2 linked regions of the Diceros bicornis minor genome follow. The protein of the gene in region 1 purifies or fractionates together with the protein of each later gene. This does not show direct contact. Links are inferred from orthologs where the notes say so. Each region holds a gene or a part of one and is shown on either strand. Other genes may lie near its edges.

Evidence for each region.
Region 2: the proteins of RETREG3 (region 1) and REEP4 purify together in Homo sapiens (affinity purification with mass spectrometry; 3 studies listed by BioGRID and IntAct, with this or other methods). This does not show direct contact. The link is inferred for Diceros bicornis minor from reciprocal best matches to the Homo sapiens genes RETREG3 and REEP4.

Annotation. Positions count from the first base shown.
Region 1 is NC_080757.1:41,680,941-41,691,188, forward strand, and holds the start of RETREG3 (reticulophagy regulator 3), read right to left. Parts: upstream 5,003-10,248; 5' UTR 4,948-5,002; coding exon 4,709-4,947; intron 1-4,708. Other genes in the region: TUBG1 (tubulin gamma-1 chain), read left to right, coding at 5,326-5,374, 5,702-5,814, 5,997-6,164, 7,003-7,071, 7,343-7,422, 7,859-7,985, 8,196-8,282, 8,397-8,546 and 3 more. UniProt on the Homo sapiens protein: Endoplasmic reticulum (ER)-anchored autophagy regulator which exists in an inactive state under basal conditions but is activated following cellular stress.
Region 2 is NC_080750.1:71,710,183-71,720,994, forward strand, and holds REEP4 (receptor expression-enhancing protein 4), read left to right. Parts: upstream 1-6,783; 5' UTR 6,784-7,202; coding exon 7,203-7,234; intron 7,235-7,374; exon of another isoform or gene 7,375-7,496; intron 7,497-8,071; coding exon 8,072-8,144; intron 8,145-8,536; coding exon 8,537-8,613; intron 8,614-8,705; coding exon 8,706-8,826; intron 8,827-9,271; coding exon 9,272-9,424; intron 9,425-9,767; coding exon 9,768-9,903; intron 9,904-10,050; coding exon 10,051-10,208; intron 10,209-10,295; coding exon 10,296-10,361; 3' UTR 10,362-10,506; downstream 10,507-10,812. Other genes in the region: LGI3 (leucine-rich repeat LGI family member 3), read left to right, coding at 1,289-2,106. UniProt on the Homo sapiens protein: Microtubule-binding protein required to ensure proper cell division and nuclear envelope reassembly by sequestering the endoplasmic reticulum away from chromosomes during mitosis.

The sequences.
Region 1 (10,248 bases):
TTAATTACTTTAAGTGGAATTATTGAGTCAAAAGGCATTAACACTTTTTCTTTTATAACCGCATTATCAAGATTCAGTTTGCACACCATAAAATTTACTCTTTTAAATTGTCTAATTCAATGGTTTTTAGTATATTCACAGAGTTGTGCAACTAACACCATTATCTAATTTAGAACATTTTTGTTACCCCAAAGAGAAACCTATACCCATTAGCAATCACTCCTCATTTTCCCCAGCACCTGAAAAGGTATTAACTTTTTAAGCATCTTAATACATTACCAAATTACTTTCCCAAAAGGCTGTTGAATTTATATTCCTATCAACCAAATGCCTGTTTTTCTTTTTGTTTGTTTGTTTTGTTTTTTGTGAGGAAGATCAGCCCTGAGCTAACATCCATGCCAATCCTCCTCTTTTTGCTGAGGAAGACTGGCCCTGGGCTAACATCTGTGCCTATCTTCCTCCACTTTATATGGGATGCCGCCACAGCATGGCTTGACAAGCGGTGCCTCGGTGCGCGCCCAGGATCCGAACCCGGGCCGCCAGCAGTGGAGCACGCGCACTTAACTGCTACACCACAGGGCCAGCCCCCGCCAAATACCTGTTTTTCCATATTTTCCCCAGAATTAAATACTATCATTTAAAAAAACCTAATAAGCAGAAATTAGTAACTCATTGCCATTTACATTAGAATTTTTTATTACTAATGAGAGTGAAATTTTATATATCCACTGATTTACTATTTTTTGGCTTTTTTGTCCTTTTGTAAGCCACCCATCCCCTTTATTATGGGCTAAAATCTAATTAATTATCAGTCTAAATAAAATATTCCTTGGAAAAACAATCTGGTGTCCCTAAAAATCATGAGAAATTCCAAAACTAAACAATTTTTTTGAGGTTAACTATACTATGGATCCTCACTGTTAGCACAGGTAAATTAGAGTTTGCTATAATCATAAAGTTTATGCTATAATCACAAACAAAATAAAGATCACATGACTGTTTTCAAAGAAGATACTATTTCTGGGTTCCTTTGTTATTGCAGAGTAAGCTTGTCTCAGTGGCACTTCAGAACAAAGCACCCCATCCTATAGGGACAGAAAGCCCATTATTGTACAGCACTGTGGCTGTCTGGTTAATCAGCCAGTCACTGGTAAATTAGAATTAAAAAAATTAACCCAACCTATCTCACGCAGTGACAGTTGTTGCTTGCACAAAACCAGAAATGAAACCAGCTAGCTGCTAATAACCTACCTTATGTTAATGGACAAAAAGCACCCAACCTTACAATTAGGACAGATAAAAAACTGTTGGCAAAAGAGAGGCAAAAAAAAGCAAGCCAAGGCATCCTTGGGAATCTTCTTGGCTACCAAAAGCAACAAGAACAATGATCAGAGACGTGTGCTCAATAGATTTCATCTGAAATTTGATGTGTAGATTTTTTTTCACAGAACACTAAGTCTCTACTTAAATGGGCCCTCCCTTCCTTTTCCTGTTCCTTTTTCATTTTCATTCAAATTCTAAACTTTCAAATAAGAATTTTTATATACCTTTAATCATTTCTCAGGTCATTTTATTGATTTGGGGAGATTTTTGCGGAGATGGGAGGGGAAACACCTTATTTTTTCCAATTGTGAAAACAACAGATTCCATAACATCCCCTAGAATATAGTATGGTTAACTCAGACTAGCGACTGTAAAAGCAGATCCCAACAGAGAATAATTTAAAGATCATCTAGAATCACAGAATGTTAAAAACTGGAAAGGAGCTTTGCAGTCATCTAGCCCTCCTTGAACCATATGCGCTTCATAGAAGGGCTTGGGGTTCACACACATTTCCAGGGCTCCTTTGTCCTCCCCTATCTCCTAGGTATGAGTCAAACCAAAAAGTTACCTGAACCTGTTCGTTTCTGATCCTGTGAGGATACACTCTCACTGACTCAGCTGTTCTTCCCCCAAATCACTCATTTATAGGTGGTGTTGAGGCTAATGAAAATATAAGCTATTGGAGAGAAACGCCTGACATTTCTGTTATTATCCTAGAGACAAGAACATATCAGTGAATAGAAGCAACATAGGTTGGAAGAACTCTGATATGATACCCATAATTCCTCTGGAACCTGAAAAAAAAGAGTGAAAACCTTGAAATACTACAGTGGCAAGGCATCTACATCTATCTTTGTCTTTTATGTTGTTGTTTTTTTAAGATGTAAGAGGGCACATTCACAGGTACAGTTGACTAAGAATACAGAACATGGAAAGTTAAGAGCTACCTACCTGAATTCTGATGATTTTTTTGTACTCCTATCCAATCTTCTAATACCTCAAAATATATAAAACACCTCAGTTAATGATTTATCATTATTCAAAACAAATAATGAAAGAAAAATAAAATATTTCAGATTTGATTTCTCTCAGACCTGAGCCAATGATCCTTCTATGTTTCCTAAACATTTAAAATGTCTGAGAACAAAACAGTCACTCTTTGACATTCCTAAGCGAAATGTCAACACCCATATTCAATATGATGCTACTGGAATGTGAAGTCTAACTTTCATTTTGAACTTCAAACTACCTCCCAAAGAAGCCCATTTCCTAAAACAAACAATCCCATGAACTCCAACGCCAAACCACCCTAGCCTCTGGGGCCTTACTTAACACTTCCAGTCATTCTGTGCCCTTCACAGGTGTAAGTCCTCTCCATAAATGGCATACCCAGTTGCTCTTTCAGTCTCAAGAGATGCACCCTTCATTTTGCTGTATCTCTCCCCACCTATTTCAAGTGTGATGGGAACATAACAAGAGTAACTGTGCTCTGGATACACAGCACGCAAGCTACCAGAAAATCCCAGAGATAAAGATCAATCACAACAATGCTTCCAGAGACCCAGAGTAGGAAAAGGAGATCTGAGTGAGATTCTAAACATAGCATATTAGTAAACTTAAGTAAACACTGTTGGGGGCCAGCAAATTAAAGCTAACTGTAACATTTAAAGATGTGTCTTATGCAGAGCTGCTCCTTGTGTGCAGACCTCAACCCCACATTCCACTTCAAAACTCTCTCTCAGGCAAGGGGCATGTGGAAAGTCCCCTCCTCAAAAATAACAACATACATGCTACTGATCCATTTGCATTAATAAAACTTTGGCTTATCAGGATTCATTTAAAAGAATTTTATATATCAGCCACTCACATCTTGATACAAACTGGTTTATTCAGGACCCACTTTTTTCCTAGGAGTACAATCCCAATGTAGGAAAGGAAGTTTTGACTGGATGGTCCAGGGTTAGGGGTTGGGATGGGGAGGTGGGAGGAAAGGAAGAAAAGGTCATTCTGGAAAACACTCCTGAACGAGGTGCTACAGTTAAGGGTTTCTGACAGAAAGCAACAGACCGGAAGTAGGTACCTGGGGATCAAAGAAGAAGCAATACCAAAAATAAATGAAGAATGCTGTAGAAAAAGTTTATCGTCAAGTTTGTTAAAGACTATGGAAGTCAGAGATGGCTGTGACACCTTTCACCTGAGTCTCCTTCAAACTGTGAGAGGATTAATTTAACAGCTAAACATTGTGTCTTCCTGCCAATGAACTTGGAATTATTGGGTTTGCTCCAGCTCACTAAAAATCTTCTTTCAGACAAAGAATAATAAACGTTTTGATTTTAAAACCAAGAATTTCAAGAGGAAAGCTATTTTTAGCAAAAAACAATTTTTTTTTTTTTTGCGAACTCATACTTTGTGCTGTTTCAGGCTTATCCAGAATAGCCTTATTTCATCCAGTTGTAGAAGCTCCCTATACTTCAGCTCCCTTGGAATTAGATCAATAATACTTCCCTAATTATGAATAAATCCAAACTATGCCTGGCAGATCCTATGAAGACCTAAGTCCACTCCAGGTAATGACAACTGAGAGAAGCAGGAGTTCATCTTCACAGAGCATGACACATCCAGATTCTGAAAGCATATTTATAGCCGCACTTTTCCAGCTCAGGAAAACTTACACACTATTAGACACCCTCAATTTCCTTGCCTATAAACTGCGGCTGGATGCCTCGCTAATTCCTTGCAACATGGAGGAGTTGCAATCATAGAGGCTTTGAAACGGGTGAAATCGCACAATCACTATTTCCTAACTGTTCTTCAAAAGCTTATAATTTTCTTCCAAGTTGCAGCTTTGGACGCGCTTAGTGACGCTCAGACTTCACAAACCTCCTAGAGTGGGAGAAAGAAAGATCTAACGCGCGAATTCAGATCGTTCAAGCTGGTTTTCCTATCACACCTCCGGATACCTTTTCAAGACCTACCGCCTGACGCGTGTACCCCAATAATAACTACTACAATCTGGAGACAGTCCTCACCACATTTGAGCAGACAAGAGAAGGGAGGCTATGGCCTTCAAGGCACACAGCTTTCCCTGGCTAAAATGAGGCGCCCTCGCGCACTGCGAGCGGCTCAAGACGTAACCAGAAGCTCTTGCCTGATGTGCGGGGCGAGGGTGCGGGAGCAGTAAAGCGGAGAAGACAACTGAAGACCTGGGGAGAACTGCGGTGCCGAAGCCTGCAGGCGGGAAGAAGTGGAAGGAGATGGGGCAAAATTAGGCAGGTACAGGAAGGAGCCAGCGCAGCGAAGAAAACAGAGGAGGCGAGAGGTAGAGCCCTAGAGAAACCTGACGAATTCCCGCCTCGGAGGGTTTCCAAGGGTCCAGTTCTCTCACCAGAAAGCCGCGTTCAGCCCCAGGCACCACAGGGCGCTCCTGGCGGGCCGCTCCCACACCAGGGCTGCCTGCACCCGGCTCAGCAGAGGCTCGTAAGGCCCCAGCACCTCCACCAGGGCCCGCTGCGCCGCCTCAACCTGCTGGTCCCGCTCCCAGGAGCCTGACATAGCGCGGCGGCCCGTGAACGTCGGGCCCAAACTTGGGCCTGGGGCCGCGTCCACCCCCTCTGCCTCCGCCATCGCCCCCCGGCAGCCACAACATCCGGGGCCGCGGCCCCACAGTCACAATAACACCAACTGCGCAGATGCGCGATTCGGCGGGGGAGGCTGCTTCCCTTCACAACGCGCCTGCGCACACACTCGAACGAGAGTCCATCCAGAGAACACTGCGTCAAAGCACGCCCCTGCGCCCAGCCCGATCAGGAGCCGCGCAAGCGCAGTCTGCATGACTGAAGCCAAATGAATAAGGAAGTGCCATCGCCAGAACTCAGTTCTCATTGGAGCGGAGAAAGTTCGTGGGCGGGGCGAGTTGTTTGGCGCCTGCGTCGTGCGGCGAGCGGGCTGGCTAGCGGCGGCTTTGCTGGCGGGAGAGGCTGCAACGCCGGTGCCTGAGGAGCGATGCCGAGGGAAATCATCACCCTACAGTTGGGCCAGTGCGGCAATCAGAGTGAGCAAACCTCCGGCCCCTCCACTAGCCAGGTTCCTCAGATTCTATGGGATCTCGCTGTGGGATCCTGGACTCCATCTGCCCTTCCCAGAATCGTAGTTCTCCGAAAGGCAGGACATGCCTGACCCAGTGTCCAGTTGCCCAACCCCGAGGGGCCCTCCCCTGCCCGGTCCTGGCATACAGCCCTTTCCTCTGACACGGGAGACTCCTGAGGCTTGACTTCCTGTCTCTATACCCAGGCGCTCAGTCCCCAAGCTCCTAGTTGGAACCTGCCCAGACCCAGGTATCCTCTTTCTCCCCCGTCCATCTCTCCCCCACCCCGCCCAGTTGGGTTCGAGTTCTGGAAACAGCTGTGCGCCGAGCATGGTATCAGCCCCGAAGGCATCGTGGAGGAGTTTGCCACCGAGGGCACTGACCGCAAGGACGTCTTTTTCTACCAGGTGCCCCCAGCGACTTGGCCAGGGGTCCTAAAGGGAAGGCAGCGGCCTGGTGCTGGGAAACCTGCTGGGCAGAGAAGCCAGGGCGGCTGGCTTGAGGAGGGAGGGCAGGGAGGAGGCAGAGCTGGGAGGACGGGGGCCTTGGCCTTAGCTGATTGGGCCCCCTCCTGGACTCCCCTTGACAGGCAGACGATGAGCACTACATCCCCAGGGCCGTGCTGCTGGACCTGGAGCCCCGGGTGATCCACTCCATCCTCAACTCCCCCTATGCCAAGCTCTACAACCCAGAGAACATCTACCTGTCAGAGCATGGAGGAGGGGCTGGCAACAACTGGGCCAGCGGATTCTCCCAGGTCATTCGCTATTCCCTGGCAGGACCCACAACACCCTTCCTGTGTTGGGACAGGCCCTATGACTTCCCAGAGAGAGATGAAACCAGATCAAGGATGTATGAGTGCTGGAGGGAGAGAGAGATGGCTTAAGGGAGTTCTGTTTTCTAAGTCAACTATGTAAAATTGTTAAGAGACTCCACTAGCTAGTGCTGTGTGCCAGGCCGTACTAAGAGCTTTACGTATATTAACTTATTTAAACCTCCCAGCAACTCAAGAGGTAGGTAGTACAGGTCCACAGTCTCTTATCTACCTTTCCAGAATCCAAAAAACTCTGAAACCAAAAGACAATTTATAACTCATTTAGCAACAAAACCCAATCTCAATGGAGACAGGCTATTTTATAGTTTCTATCCAATTTACTGTCATTTCTCATACCTTTCATCACAGAAATATTAATGTATTTGATTAGCACACCTCAGACTCCCACTGGCATTTTACTTAACATACATTATATGTACCATGTTACCTTTATAGAGTCTGAAAAATTTGAATTCTGAAACATAACTGGCCTTAAGGATTTTAGAGTGGACCTGTATTATTACCTTCATATACAGATGAGGGAACTGAGGTATAGAGAGATCACAACGTGCTCAGAGTCACCTCGGCTAAACATGAACCCAGGCCTTCTGGATGTAGAGTGCCTGCCCATAACCACTGTGCTATACTGCTTCTCAATGCAAATAAAAAGCAGGGCCACTGTGCTCTAAAAAAAGACTTTTAGGTGCTATAAGGAGAATCGAGAGTCAGAATCTTTGTCCCATGGTCCTGTCTTGCTCTGACCTTCCCCATATCTGTACAGGGAGAGAAGATCCACGAGGACATTTTTGACATCATAGACCGGGAGGCAGATGGCAGTGACAGTCTGGAGGTGTGTCTCAGGAATGGTAGTGGGAGCCGACATAGGGAAGCCTCAGCAACACCCTTTAGAAGCCACTTTTAGGAATAAGACCCACCCATGTATGCTTTGCACTGGACAGAAGCCTTGCTGGAAACAAGGCAGAGTCTCCCCAGCTGTATATGTTGGGAGGGAAGTGGAGGAGAGAACTTGGCAAGATAGGAGTCCAAGAAATTATGGGATGGGTCCAGTTTGAAATCCTGACACTAGATACCTAGACACTGACTGCCCCTTCCCCATGTAGGGCTTCGTGCTGTGTCACTCCATCGCTGGGGGGACAGGCTCTGGCCTGGGCTCCTACCTCTTAGAACGGCTGAATGACAGGTAAGTCTGTGTTTTGAGGGGCTAGGAGGACTTGGTTTCCCAAGTAACTTGGAGGCCCTCCAGATACACCTTGCTATTCACTGGAGCAGGAAAGGGCCCTTCTGTAGTGAGGAAAGTCAAGATAGAGTGACTGAGAACCCGATCACACTCCCAGGGGTTGAAACTGGAGCCTCGAATCTGGGCCCTAGATGAAGAGATGAAGGTTCAGGGAGTATGGGGTTTGGTGTTGGAACTCTAGATCCTAAGATGTCTTTCTGCCCTTCCCCCTTTGGGGTTACAGACTTCCAAAAGTCAGGTCTCCCTTCTCTACTGCTCCCCGGGGCCCCATACCAGTTTCCCCATCCAAAATCAGCTGCTTCCAGACAGTTGCTGGGAGCCCCGTGTTCACCAAGCCACCAGTCTGTTGCCCTGACCCTTTTCTCCCAACCCCCACTAGGTACCCCAAGAAGCTGGTGCAGACGTACTCAGTGTTTCCCAACCAGGACGAGATGAGCGACGTGGTGGTCCAGCCCTACAACTCGCTGCTCACACTCAAGAGGCTGACCCAGAACGCAGACTGTGTGGTGAGTCCTGGATTCTACCATTCCCCACCCCCACCCCCTGTCTCTTTCAACACTTTCAGCCCTCTTGGGCCCCAGTCCTGTGCAAGTCCCTTTTGGATGGGTCTTTCTGGCTGTGAGGCTCAAGGGAAATTAAGCTTCAGAACCCAGGCTCAGGCAGAGCTGCTGTTCTTTCTGTCTCCATAAATCTGTCACCCTCTTCTGTCCCCCGAGGTGGTGCTGGACAACACAGCCCTGAACCGGATCGCCACAGACCGCCTGCACATCCAGAACCCCTCCTTCTCCCAGATCAACCAGCTGGTGAGCCCCAACTCCTCCACTCGTTTGGACTGGAATGCCTCCTTGCTGGAGTGCCAGCTGGGGAAGGGAGGCCCCCCCAGGCCAAGGCCCATGACATGGCACCCCTGTCCCCAGGTGTCCACCATCATGTCTGCCAGCACCACCACCCTGCGCTACCCCGGCTACATGAACAACGACCTCATCGGCCTCATTGCCTCGCTCATTCCCACCCCACGGCTCCACTTCCTCATGACCGGCTACACCCCCCTCACCACGGACCAGTCGGTAAGAGCAGCCCTCGGGGTCTCAGGCCAGGCTGGCCCGGGGCCCAGCAGGCCCTGACCTGGGCTTTCTCTTCTCCCTGTGGCCCCAGAAGCTGCCCTTTGCAGCCCCCAGAGGCTCTGCGCCCAGGGACTGGCACAGACTGTACAACTTCCTTGCTGACTTGCTCTCCTCTTCCCTCTGCCTTTGGCTCCCTGCAGGGCCTGGGCTGTGCAGGGTCTGCTTATGCTCCTGCACAGGGGCATGAGTTTGCTGAGCTGAGGAGGGCTAAGATTCCTGATCCCAGATCAGAGGGATCCCACAGCAGAGGCTCAGTATAGACCTGAATCTAAAGACGTTCGCCAAAGAGACCATACTACCCTGAGTCTGGTGGGGGACATGTGTTGCCTACTTCTCTCTGGACTGTGCCCTGAGTGCTGGCCTTGCCCCTGTGGCCCACTCTCCCCTCAGGTGGCCAGCGTGAGGAAGACCACGGTCCTGGATGTCATGAGGCGGCTGCTGCAGCCCAAGAACGTGATGGTGTCCACAGGCCGAGATCGCCAGACCAACCACTGCTACATCGCCATCCTCAACATCATCCAGGGGGAGGTGGACCCCACCCAGGTAGGGGAGGCCCCTTCATTTCACCCTCGGAACCCACAGGGATAGAGGAGAGGCTACCATCATTGCTCCGGTGCCCACCCCAGGTCCACAAGAGCCTGCAGAGGATCCGGGAACGGAAGTTGGCCAACTTCATCCCCTGGGGCCCAGCCAGCATCCAGGTGGCCCTGTCAAGGAAGTCTCCCTACCTGCCCTCAGCCCATCGAGTCAGTGGGCTCATGATGGCCAACCACACCAGCATCTCCTCGGTGAGTCTCCCAGTTTGCACCTCTTTTCCTGTAATCGTTTTCCTGGTTGTGCCTCACTTCTCTGCATCCCTGCTGCTCTGCCTCTGGCTTTTTACTGTGGAGAGAGCCCAGTCTTGGTTCCCTGGCTCTCTGGGCCATATTGTTCCCGAAAGTTCTTTGTGACCCCTGCTTTCTGCACATCCCAAGCTCTTTGAGCGGACCTGTCGCCAGTATGACAAGCTGCGGAAGCGGGAAGCCTTCCTGGAGCAGTTCCGTAAGGAGGACATCTTCAAGGAGAACTTTGATGAGCTGGACACATCCAGGGAGATCGTGCAGCAGCTCATCGATGAGTACCATGCAGCCACGCGGCCGGACTACATCTCCTGGGGCACCCAGGAGCAGTGAGTCACGCAGGACAGGGACCCTCATCTGCCTTACTGGTTGGCCCAGGCCTCACCTGACTGACCAGCCCCTCAGAGCACAGATCAGGGACCTCGCACCTCTCTTTCTCAAACACACATACACGTACTCTCTGTTGGCCTGGGGACACATTTACTTCTCCTCTTATGAGACTATTTATGTTTAATAAAGCACTGGATATATATCAAGTCTGGTCTCTTTGAAGGCTTGGAGACCTCGGGAAGGGAGATGACTGTTCTTTCTCCATCACTCTGGCAGGGTCTTCCCCTACTTCCCCGTCTTCAACTCGGAGCAAACAGCATCCCCAGCTTTTCCTTTTCCTGCTTAGTTTTGGAGAACATGGGTGGGGTTGACCCACCTGAGAAATTCCTTTCCAGGCTAAAAAGGCCCACAGATTTGCTCTCCATCTGACACTCTGGGTCCCAGTTCCCTCCCAACCCTCCCTGGATCAGGTCGCC
Region 2 (10,812 bases), on another chromosome or scaffold:
GGATGCAAGAGGAAACAGAAAATTTAAATTGTCCTCTATCTATGAAAGAACTTGAAGTCATTATAAAAAATCCTTCCCCCAAAAGAAGACTCCAGGTCCCGATGGTCTCCCTGGTGAATTCTATCAAACGTTTAAGGAAGAAATTACGCCAATCTTACACAAACTGTAATAGGAAGCCTGGACTTGGGGACTGCTCAGCTGTGGGCGAGTGAGGGAGAGAGAGGTGTTGGGGATGGCTCCCGGTTTCCTGGATGGGGTGACTGCGTGGAGCCACAGATGGAAGTCGAGAACAAGGAGGAAGTGGAGGAGCAGGTTCCGGGGTGGATGTGGAGCTCAGTTTTGCCAGCTGGAGTTTGAGGTGCTTGTGGGTGTGTGTGGGCACGGAGGGTGTGCACTGAGGCTCGGGGCTGGGGGAGCATCAGCGTCTGGGGGGACAGACCAAAGCCGTGGAAGGGATTCGGGCGGTGACTGCCGGAGGCTGGGACTCAGCACAGGCTTCCCTTGGGGGAGAGGCCCAGTCACCGGGAGGAGGAGCGTGGCTGAAGCGGCGCTGGCGGGGAGGAGAGGAGAGGCGATGACTGGGGACACCAGGACAGGTGAGGGGTACGACCCCACAGGCCTTGGGTGCCTGAGAAGGGTCAGAGCAACATGGTTGTGAGCACAGTGACCTTATGCAGACATTCTCCTATGGAACAGCCCTTTCCACAGTGGGGGCTCTCAGGAGAGTGTGTTTTAATGCACAACTATGCAGACATCAAGCTGTCATCTTACACCGGGGCTTGATCACCGGGCTGTGGACGAGCTCACACTCTCCCCCTCCCCTGCCTGGCCACTTGCCAGCGGGGTAGCTTCAGGCAAGTCACTTAGACTCCGAGCCTCAGTTCCTTTTGGTGTGAAATGGCAAAATGATAGGGTGCATTTCAGAGTGATTAATTGAGGCAGTGTGTTCAAATTATCACAGTGACCACACACAATAAAAATTCAATAATTGACATTACGGTTAAACAATCGGTCAAAATCTAGGAGCACCTATTTTGTGCTCAGTCTCAGCTTGTATTTGAACCCTGGGGGCAGAGGTGGAGGGAGGGTGATGCTGAGGCTGATTATTAGCTGTGAAACAATGAGAAAGCACCGAGTGCCCAGTAGATGACCTTGAGGGGAAAGGAATACTGTAGCAGACAGCCTTGGTCTTGGCCCAGGGTTGGAGGGGACTGACCCTCTTTCCAAGGGTGCAGCACGGGGCGAGGGCACACGGGCCGCCTGACGCTGCCTCCCCGCATCCTGGCAGCCCCCTCTGCAGTGCACTGCAAGCCAATGGTGGTGGACAGCCAGCTGTATGTGGTTGTGGCCCAGCTGTTTGGCGGCTCTTACATTTACCACTGGGACCCCAACACCACGCGCTTCACCAAGCTGCAGGACATCGACCCGCAGCGCGTGCGCAAGCCCAATGACCTAGAGGCCTTCCGCATCGACGGTGACTGGTACTTTGCCGTGGCCGACAGCTCCAAGGCGGGCGCCACCAGCCTCTACCGCTGGCACCAGAATGGCTTCTACTCCCACCAGGCCCTGCACGCCTGGCACCGCGATACCGACCTGGAGTTTGTAGACGGCGAGGGCAAGCCACGGCTGATTGTGTCTAGCAGCTCCCAGGCGCCTGTCATCTATCAGTGGAGTCGCACCCAGAAGCAGTTTGTGGCCCAGGGTGAGGTGGCCCAGGTGCCTGACGCCCAGGCTGTGAAACACTTCCGCGCCGGCCGCGACAGCTACCTGTGTCTCAGCCGCTACATTGGCGACTCCAAGATCCTGCGCTGGGAGGGCACGCGCTTCTCCGAGGTGCAGGCCCTGCCCTCCCGGGGCTCGCTGGCCCTGCAGCCCTTTCTCGTGGGTGGCCGCCGCTACCTGGCACTGGGCAGCGACTTCTCCTTCACACAGATCTACCAGTGGGATGATGGGCGACAGAAGTTTGTGCGGTTCCAGGAGCTGGCTGTGCAGGCCCCTCGGGCCTTCTGCTACATGCCTGCTGGAGACGCTCAGCTCCTCCTGGCCCCCAGCTTCAAGGGGCAGACGCTTGTGTACCGACATGTCGTGGTGGATCTCAGTGCCTAGGGGGTGCTGAGGCGTCTGGGTTCCTCGAGCAGCCGCTGGAGGCTGGGTGGGAGCCTCTGTGTGAGCAGCATGTGTGCCAGTGTGAAGACACGTGTAGCCAACCTGCATAGGTGCCCTCACGTACGTACACTCCGGTGAGCATGGGCACACACCGTGGACTAGCCCAGGGGAGCCACTTATCGTAGTTGTAATCAGCATGAAGACTCGTATATGCACCAGGCAACCCAGCACCTGGTGCCCTCCCATATGTGGACACCTCTTGACCCCACACTCCATCTGCAGGCCTGCCTCGCTCTGCTGCCTTCCACACGCTCTGGCCCTGGGGGCAGGGTGCTGAGAGGGAGGCTGAACTTCCCCCTCCTGTTCTCCAGCTTATTATTCTGACTCTCTGGTCTTTCCTGTTGGTGCTCTAGGTGTCTGTGTACCTGCTCATGCTCCACATTGCAGCCCACAGCCACATCCTTCATACTGCTGCGTGCACTGACCCATGCTACGCTCCTTCTGCGTGCACATGTGGACACTGACGGCCACCCTCAGGCACATGCACACACACCTGTCTACACTCCTGTTTTCACGTGCACACATGCAGATTCAGCACTGCCTGAAGCTTCCCCTCTGTTACCTTGCCTGTCTTCTTAGAGGAGCACACAGTACCCGTCCTCCTATGCTCACCCCTGGTGTGCCCGCCCTGCGGCTGACACAGATGGGAATGGTGATGCCAGCTTCTGTGCACCAGCTTGACCTCTGCCTGAAGCCCCAGATCCCCTGGCTACTTCCCAGTGCTGGCTCTGTTCTCACCGGAGTTCCCTTCCTGACCCTGAATTGGGCTCGCCCGTGTATAGGAGACCACCCAGATGAAAACCTTTCTGCTCTTCTTTTCTCTAGCTGCCCCAGCCTCGGACCACTCCCTGGTTCAGCCCCATGTTTGGGCTGTGGACCCTGAACTGTCCTGGCTCCTTTGGGTGTGTTCAAGAGCTGGCTGAGCCAGGGACCCTGCAAGCACCTGAGCCATCAGGGCAGGTGCCGGGAGTGCAGCTGGGCTGGAGAGCATCTTGGGGGCCCTGGGACCTCTCTAATCCACAGAGGCACACCCCAGGAGCACTGCCTTTCAGTGCAAGCTGAGTGGTGGAGGGGATGAAGGTCCTATGGGAGTGGCACCTGGGAGCCAAGCTTCTGCTGCCCTCTGCTGTATGCTGGGAATAGACAGCTCTGAGATGCAAGGCTGCTGGAGAAGGCATGGGGTAGGCAAGCTCTTCCCTGTGTCCAGACTGTGTGAGGGCCGCCTGGTGGTAGGATGCCTAGGGGCATTGGTGGGCAATGCCATGATTCACTTGCTTCGAATAAAAAGTTCCCACCCCATTGCTGGCTCTCAGATGTCCAATGGTGATGGTCAGCCGCAGCTGTTGCATTAAGAACAGAGCCAGGGCTGTGCTATCCTTGTTGCTGGCAGGGGCCCTGCATCAGTTTTCAGACCCCCTTCCTCCCTGCTCCCTTCCCTCCAAGGAGTGAGTGATAACCCCCAAGGTCAGCAGGTGCTGGGGTCAGGAGTTCATGGTGATGACACTCAGGTGCTGGGTGAGTGTGACTCGTCTCCACCACCTGGGGCTGACTCACGGCCCAAGTGTTCCTTCCTGGAGATCACAGTCTTGGGTCCCACTGAGACTGGAGTCTGTGCCTCTGTCAGGTCAACTCCAACCAATATGACCCAAGATAAGCGCAGCAGTCCCTGCCGCCCCCCATCCCACTGGGCAGATGTCTGTCACTGCCACCACCCTCTGCCCTAGGGATGAGATTTCAAGCACGTCGACGCATTTCTGGAGCCTCAGCTGCTACTTCTGGAAAGCAGATAATAAAACCTACTTTGTTTAGTCCTGATTCTGCCACCTACTAGCTGGGTAGCCTCGACCATGTTACTTAGCCTACTCATATCTGAGTTTCCTCACCTGTAAAATGTAGATAATCATGATACCTACCTGAAGGGTTAGTGTGAGATTTAAATGCATTAAATATATAACATACTAATATATGTAATGCCCTTAGAATAGTGTGCCTGGCACAGAACTATGATTTTTATTGGTCTGTAGCACTATATGAAATACAGAGGTGGCTCAGATAAGGGTGTTTTGTGGGAGCGGAGGTTGCTCTTTGGGGAGAACTGTCTGTGGATTAGGGGTCCTTATGCATCCTCAGATTCAGCGCCCCTGTACCCTATGTCTTACACCTGTGGCCTCAGGTGTCCAGCCAACCCGGCCCTGACCACTCCTCACAATGGGGAGTCTCATAGGGGACGTGTCTGAGTTTCCACCTCCTTGAACCACGTTCATGTGCTCTTGGCTCAGCAGGCGTCCCTCAGGTCCCCCAGCCCCACTGTCCTGGGAATGTCTGTCCTGCTTTTTCAAATGGGGAACGGGCCTCATGCTGTGCCAGGAAGAGGTTGCCAGGGAAAGAGGGTTGAGTCTCCCAGACACGTTGGCACTTTGTTGCCCAGTAGAAAGATAAATATCACTCTGACTGTACCCTCGCCCCCACCATGACTCCTTCCAGCGGTGGGAGACACTTCTCCCCCTGAATGCCCAGCTTTCTGCACACGAGGAATTGAGCTGTCTGTATGGCTGCCTGGTCACCTGCCCTGGGGGGTCATCCATGTGTCCAGAGAGCTGCTTAGCAACCCAGTGTAACCGAATGACTGTGTCAACAGCTCAGGACCAAAGGCCGTGAGAGGCAGAGTCCACTCACTCTGCCAAAGCCGAGGAGGCTGACACCCCTCAGCTGCCAGCCTCACACCCCTCCATGCTGAGCCCTGCTTTCAGCAGCACACCTCTGACATCTTGTCCCTTAGATGTCCCAAGCACAGTCATCGGCCCCAGGAGTCTCCACGTGAGAGACCTTCCTAACTGGGTGGGCTTAGAGTGGGCACAGGAGAGCTCCTCCCCAGTGAATTGGGGGGAAAGAGAGGCCTGTGATGCTGAGGTCAGGTGTGTGACTCTGGAGGGCAGCTGGTGGAGAGGAGGCAGTTCTGCAGCAGGTACCGAGGACCTGAGGCTCACATGCACACAGTCAGCTCAAGCACCCTTACCTCTGAGGAATGGATGGCTCTTGCTTGTTCTGCAATCCCCTGCTCCTCCTGAGCTGGCCCCCTACTGAGTCAGTCACATCCTTCTGCTGCAAGGAGACAAGAATACTTTTCATCTCGATTACAATGTCTATGCCTAGAGATGGATGGTGGGATCCTAACCCTTGGCGGTTCTTGTTCCTCCAATGTAGGACAGGAGCTGGGCCCAGAGTGAGGGAGCGGTTAGGCAGGTAGAGGGAGGCCTCAGGGCCTCAGGGGAGTTTCTCCTGTAGCCGGTTTCACTGCAAGCTCTCACACCCAGCAACACCAATAAAATTGATGATAATAATTAAGAGCATATAATCACCGTGTGTGTTTATTCCCAAGAAGGCTCCTTTCCCTGGCCCGGTCCTTACCTATTCCATCCCTTTGATAGGTGGTGGGTGTTAACTATGGCTCTAATAAAAAGTAACAACTGCCCCAGTGTCCCGCGCCCACAGCTCTGAGCAGCTCTGCTGTCCCCCTTACCTCAGCCCTTGAGGGCAAGCTGTGCAGGGTTGGGGGATGCTGTGCTCCCCGTCGTCAGAGGAGGAATGAGGCACTAAGCAGAAGAGGAACAAAGAATGCAACCCCACATGGAAAGTTGTAGAAGCAGCAAAGTTTGCCCTCTCTTTTGAGCCTCTGCCGTCTTCCAGGTATACACCTTCCTCAGGGAGGAGCTCCTGGGTTCCCTGTCCCCTCCCAAGGCTGCCCTCAGAGGACTGATCAAGCCAAGCATTTACCCGTTGTCTGGCAACAAGTGCCACCAGGGGACATTGGGCAAGTTTCTTTTCATCACTGCGTGAGCCTATTTCCTAAATGAGAAAAAAGGATCAAGACCTTGCACACAGAAATGCACTACAAAATGGGGATCTTTGAGGTTATTAAGCCCTCAGGGATATTTGTGCTCTTTACTCACAGGAATAGGTGGAAGTTCAGACTTCCGGGGAAGAAGGCATGGGGGGCTGGGGGCTCTGCCCAGAATCCCTGAAATCATCACGGTCAGCCTGCCCAGGAGTGTGGGCCCTGGAAGGGTATCCCAGAGAGAGGTTAACTCCCGAAGTTGAGTCGGATGGGAGATGAGGCCCTCAGGTTCCCTCTCCCCTACTTTCTCCCAGCTTCCCCTTTAGGTCAACTGCACATCTTTGAGGCGTTGACTGACTCCTGACCCAATGGTGTAAGAGCTGATTTGCTGGCGCTCAGCCAAGCCTCCTTCCAGTTTGTGCCTGGGCCTTGAGGGGGGACCTCCGCCCATCATATGCCCTTTCCCATTTTACAGGAGGGGAAACACGAGGCAAAAGGGGGAAGCCAGTGAAGACCCACGGAAACTCAAGTCCACATTTCTTTTTTCCTCCTACTCCCGCCCCATCTTGTTTTTTTTTTTTTTTTTTTTTGCCGCTTCTCATCCCCTAATTTTTCCGGTTAGGACCGCGACTCAACCTAGGGACCCCACACGCGAGGCGGGGACGCATCGCCGCTTTAAAGGGCAGGCCGCTCGCCTCGTCCCGCCCCCCGGGGCCGCAGTGCGCCTGCGTCGGGCCCCGCAGCCCGGGGTTGGGCAGAGCCCGGTGCCGTGCAACTTTCAAGTGAGCTGCAAACTCCGCCCCGAGGCCGGGCCGGTGGCCGGGCGCAGTGGGATCGCGGAGACCGCACGAGTGAAGGCCGCGACCCGCCACTCGCGGCCCGGCCCCCGCCGCGGCGCCCCGCGAGGGCCGAACGCCTGGTTCCCCGCGGCAGGGAGTGTGAGTCGAGCGGAAACTGCCTGGCGGCGCGGCGGGGCAGAAGAGCGCGCCCGCCGGTACCGGCTCCTGAGTCGGTGCCTCCGCGTCCGGCCTGCTCGCCCGGCCTGCTGGGCTCCCCCTTCTTCCGGCTCCCCGCACTGCGAAGTTAGGGGGCGGCGCCCCTCCGGTTCCTGCTCCTCCGCTCACTTCCCCATCCTGGCCCTGCAGGAGCGTCCCTCTGGGCATCTTCTTGGGTGGTCTCCCTTTTCCCCCGAGGCTGCAGGATGGTGTCCTGGATGATCTGTCGCCTGGTGGTGTGAGTATGGCAGCTCTCATATCCCCTCTATCCCGGGTGCCAGCCCGGCCCTGGGGTGGCAACTGGGAACGTCTGGTGGGAAAGGGGGCTTTCTGAGCTCCGTCACACCTGTCCCCTCCCCCGCCCTCCCACCCTCACAGCAAAGGTTAACGGACCTGTGGGCCTGCACGCGGCGTCCAGCACGGCTTGCTTGTCCCCCAACCCCCAAAGCCTCCTTGGCGGATGGCGACCCCTCCCGCACTCACACACACACTGCAGACAGGTGCGTGGGGCGGAGGACCACGGGCCGGACCGCAGCCCTTTGGCAAACACTAGGTGTTGTGGCACGTTGTGGGCGGAGAAGCCGTTGTGGGCCTGCTTCCTAGCTGAGCCATCTGTCACGTGACTTACCACCCTGGCCTCAGCCTCCCTACTCTGTCTTACTCGTCACCTTTCGGTACTCCAGCACCTAGCTGGAATAACCCTGTCTGCAGCCTGGCAGTGCCAGGTCTCGTGGCCCTGGGCCTGACTGCATGTCCATGGGAGGGGACAGTGGTGCTCTCCTCAGTTCAGAAGTCTGCCTCCCACCCACGTTGTTGAGTGGCTGTGTGTGCTCTCTGTTCACCACGTATCCATGGGCCACCAGTGCAGGCCTGGGCAGGCTTAAGATGTTTGTAAACAGCAGGGTGGGGAGGGCAGCTTCCAGGGCACTGACTCAGGTGCAGGTTGTGCAAGCCAAGCGGGAAGAACAGGGTAGGCATTGCCGCCTCACACCGAGGGGGAGGCGGCCATCTGGTGAAGCGTGGTGGGGCATGGTGCCCCTCACTCTCCCCCTCGGTTTTCTGGCTGTTCTTCCAGGCTGATGTTTGGGATGCTGTACCCAGCTTATGCTTCGTACAAGGCTGTGAAGACCAAGAACATTCGTGAATATGTGAGTGTGGGGGTGAGGGGCTGGGCAGGAGGGTTTGACTCAGGTGGGGTGGAACGACAGCCTTGGGGGGGTATGGTAGGATTGGTGGGGTGGGGAGGGTCTGAGCTGGCCTCCCCCTCCTCCAGGGGCTTAATCGGGAGGTGTATCTTGGGTGAATGGCTGTGGATGGAGGGTGGGCTATTGGGGTTCCTGTGCAGGATCTTGTGGGTGAAGCCTATTGGGGGTGGGTACAGGCATGAGTAGCAGTTTCTCAGAGGCAACTCTCTAGCCAGATGGCAGGGGAATGCAGCGGGACATGCTCTCTGGAATCCCTGGGCTGGGTCAGTCCAGGACAGGGGAGTTGGCTCTTCAGGCTTAGCCGCTGGCCTCTGACCTCTGCCCCTGCCCCACAGGTCCGCTGGATGATGTACTGGATAGTCTTTGCACTCTTCATGGCGGCAGAGACCTTCACAGACATCTTTATTTCCTGGTATGGGGGCAGCGGGGCTGTGGGCTGTGGGGAGCAATGGCCCACCCTCTGTCTGGCTCCCTGGCTGCCCTTGTCCCCCTGTGCTCTGACAGGTTCCCTTTCTACTATGAGATCAAAATGGCTTTTGTGCTGTGGCTGCTCTCGCCCTACACCAAGGGGGCCAGCCTGCTTTACCGCAAGTTTGTGCACCCGTCCTTGTCCCGCCATGAGAAGGTACCCCAGGGGGAGGTAGGGAGGGAAGCATAGGGATGGGTGTGAGGGAAGGAGCCCTGGATTCGGGCTTCAGGACACTCGAGGACACCTGGGTTCTAATCCCAGTCCTGCTGCTGTTTAGCTGTGAGACCTTGGCAGAGCCTAACCTTCTTTCTCTTTTGGGATAATCAAGTGGGGGCACATGTGAATGACTTTTTGGGGGTATGACACACCAGCTGGAAGTTGGTTTGGGGATGGTTGGGGGGAGGATGGAGCATGGCCATTCACTGAGGTGTGGGAGTAGGGGAGTGGGTGGGTGGGTGGGGAGCCCTGCTCTTGGTGTGGTTGCCTGAGCACTGTGGGTGGGGGTGGGCTGGGAGGCGTGGCACCCAGTGGCTTCTCTGGGTCTGCAGAGGAAGAGTGACTCCAGCTGTCCACTTGAGCTCTCTTCCTCCCTCATCTGCAGGAGATCGACACCTACATCGTGCAGGCCAAGGAGCGCAGCTATGAGACAGTGCTCAGCTTTGGAAAGCGGGGCCTCAACATTGCTGCTTCGGCCGCTGTGCAGGCTGCCACCAAGGTGCCCTGGGTCCCAGCCCTCCAGCCCCGTGCTTTTTGGGCAAGTCCAGCTCACTGTCAGGGAGCTGATAGATAGCAGCTGTCTGTGCTGGGGAACAGGGGTGAGGGGTGACGGGGGTGTTGGCAGGAGCATGGAGCTGAAAGTCCAGACTTCCCTGGCTCTGCGAGCAGCCGCTCCTGCTCTCTGGGCCTTCGTTTCCTGTTGGTGCCACAAAGACCCAGAGCTAGAAGCTTGCTGAGTTGCTTTCTGTGGGGCTGGTGCCCCAGTGACTACCTGCGGGTCAGTCCTTGACTTCCCTGGGTAGCTGCCCTGATGGAGGTCCCTTTCTGCTAGGAGCCCTCCTCCTCCCTCCAGGTGATGCAGAGCTCCCCCTCCCTTGCAGAGTCAGGGTGCGCTGGCTGGAAGGCTGCGGAGCTTCTCCATGCAGGACCTGCGCTCCATCCCCGACACTGCTGCCCCCACCTACCGGGATCCCCTCTACCTGGAGGACCAGGTTCCCCGCTGCAGGCCACCTATCGGTGAGTGGGCAACTGTCCCAAGAGGAATGGCTTCCTCCATGCAAGCTGTGGCTTCCTGCAGGGCTAGAAGAAGGCCTGGCTGGCCCCAGGCCTTCAGACAGTGTAAATGCGCAGCTTAGCCTTCTGGCCTCCCTCACCTCCACACAGGGTACCGGGCAGTGGACCTCCAGGACAGTGACACGGAGGGTGAGTGTTGGTCGGATACAGAGGTAGTCCCTCAGCCGTCAACCCGGCCCCACCGAGAGAAGCCTCTGAGCCGCAGCCAGAGCCTGCGTGTGAGCAAGAAGAAGCCGCTGGTTCGGGAGGTCAGTGGCAAGGAAGACGCAAGGGGGGCGGCAGCCCTGGCACTTCAGCCCAGACCTCTCATGGTGTGCCTGCTCTCTCTCCCCCAGGGCACCTCACGCTCCCTAAAGGTCCGGACAAAGAAAAAGACCATGCCCTCAGACGTGGACAGCTAGGGTCTGCAGAGCCCGGCCCTCGTGCCCTGCAGGGTGCTGAGGGCTATTTGGAGGGGACCTCTGGCTGCATGTCTGGCCTGTCTGCACCAGCTGCCCAGGCTCTGCCCTCCCAGCTCCTGCTGTTGGTTCAGGCCCAGAGGCAGGTGCTGTCGGGGCCATGCACGGGGATGCACCCAAATGTACCAAAGCAGGCTGGGACCACGGTTCTATTTATTGCCTTTCTCATTCCTCTACCTTCCCAGGTGTGGGACCACAGCCCTCCCCAGACCCTGCAAATGAAACCAAAAGCCCACCCAGCTCTGTTCATTCCTTCCTGTCCTTCAAAGTACTTGACAGCCTTCTCCAAGGCCTTGTGTGTGTGTCCTGGTTGTATGTTTTGTGTTGGTGGATGAGGTCAGGTTTGTTCAGGTTTTGATAACTAAATACATGAAAGTGTTCTGTTTCTCCTGGT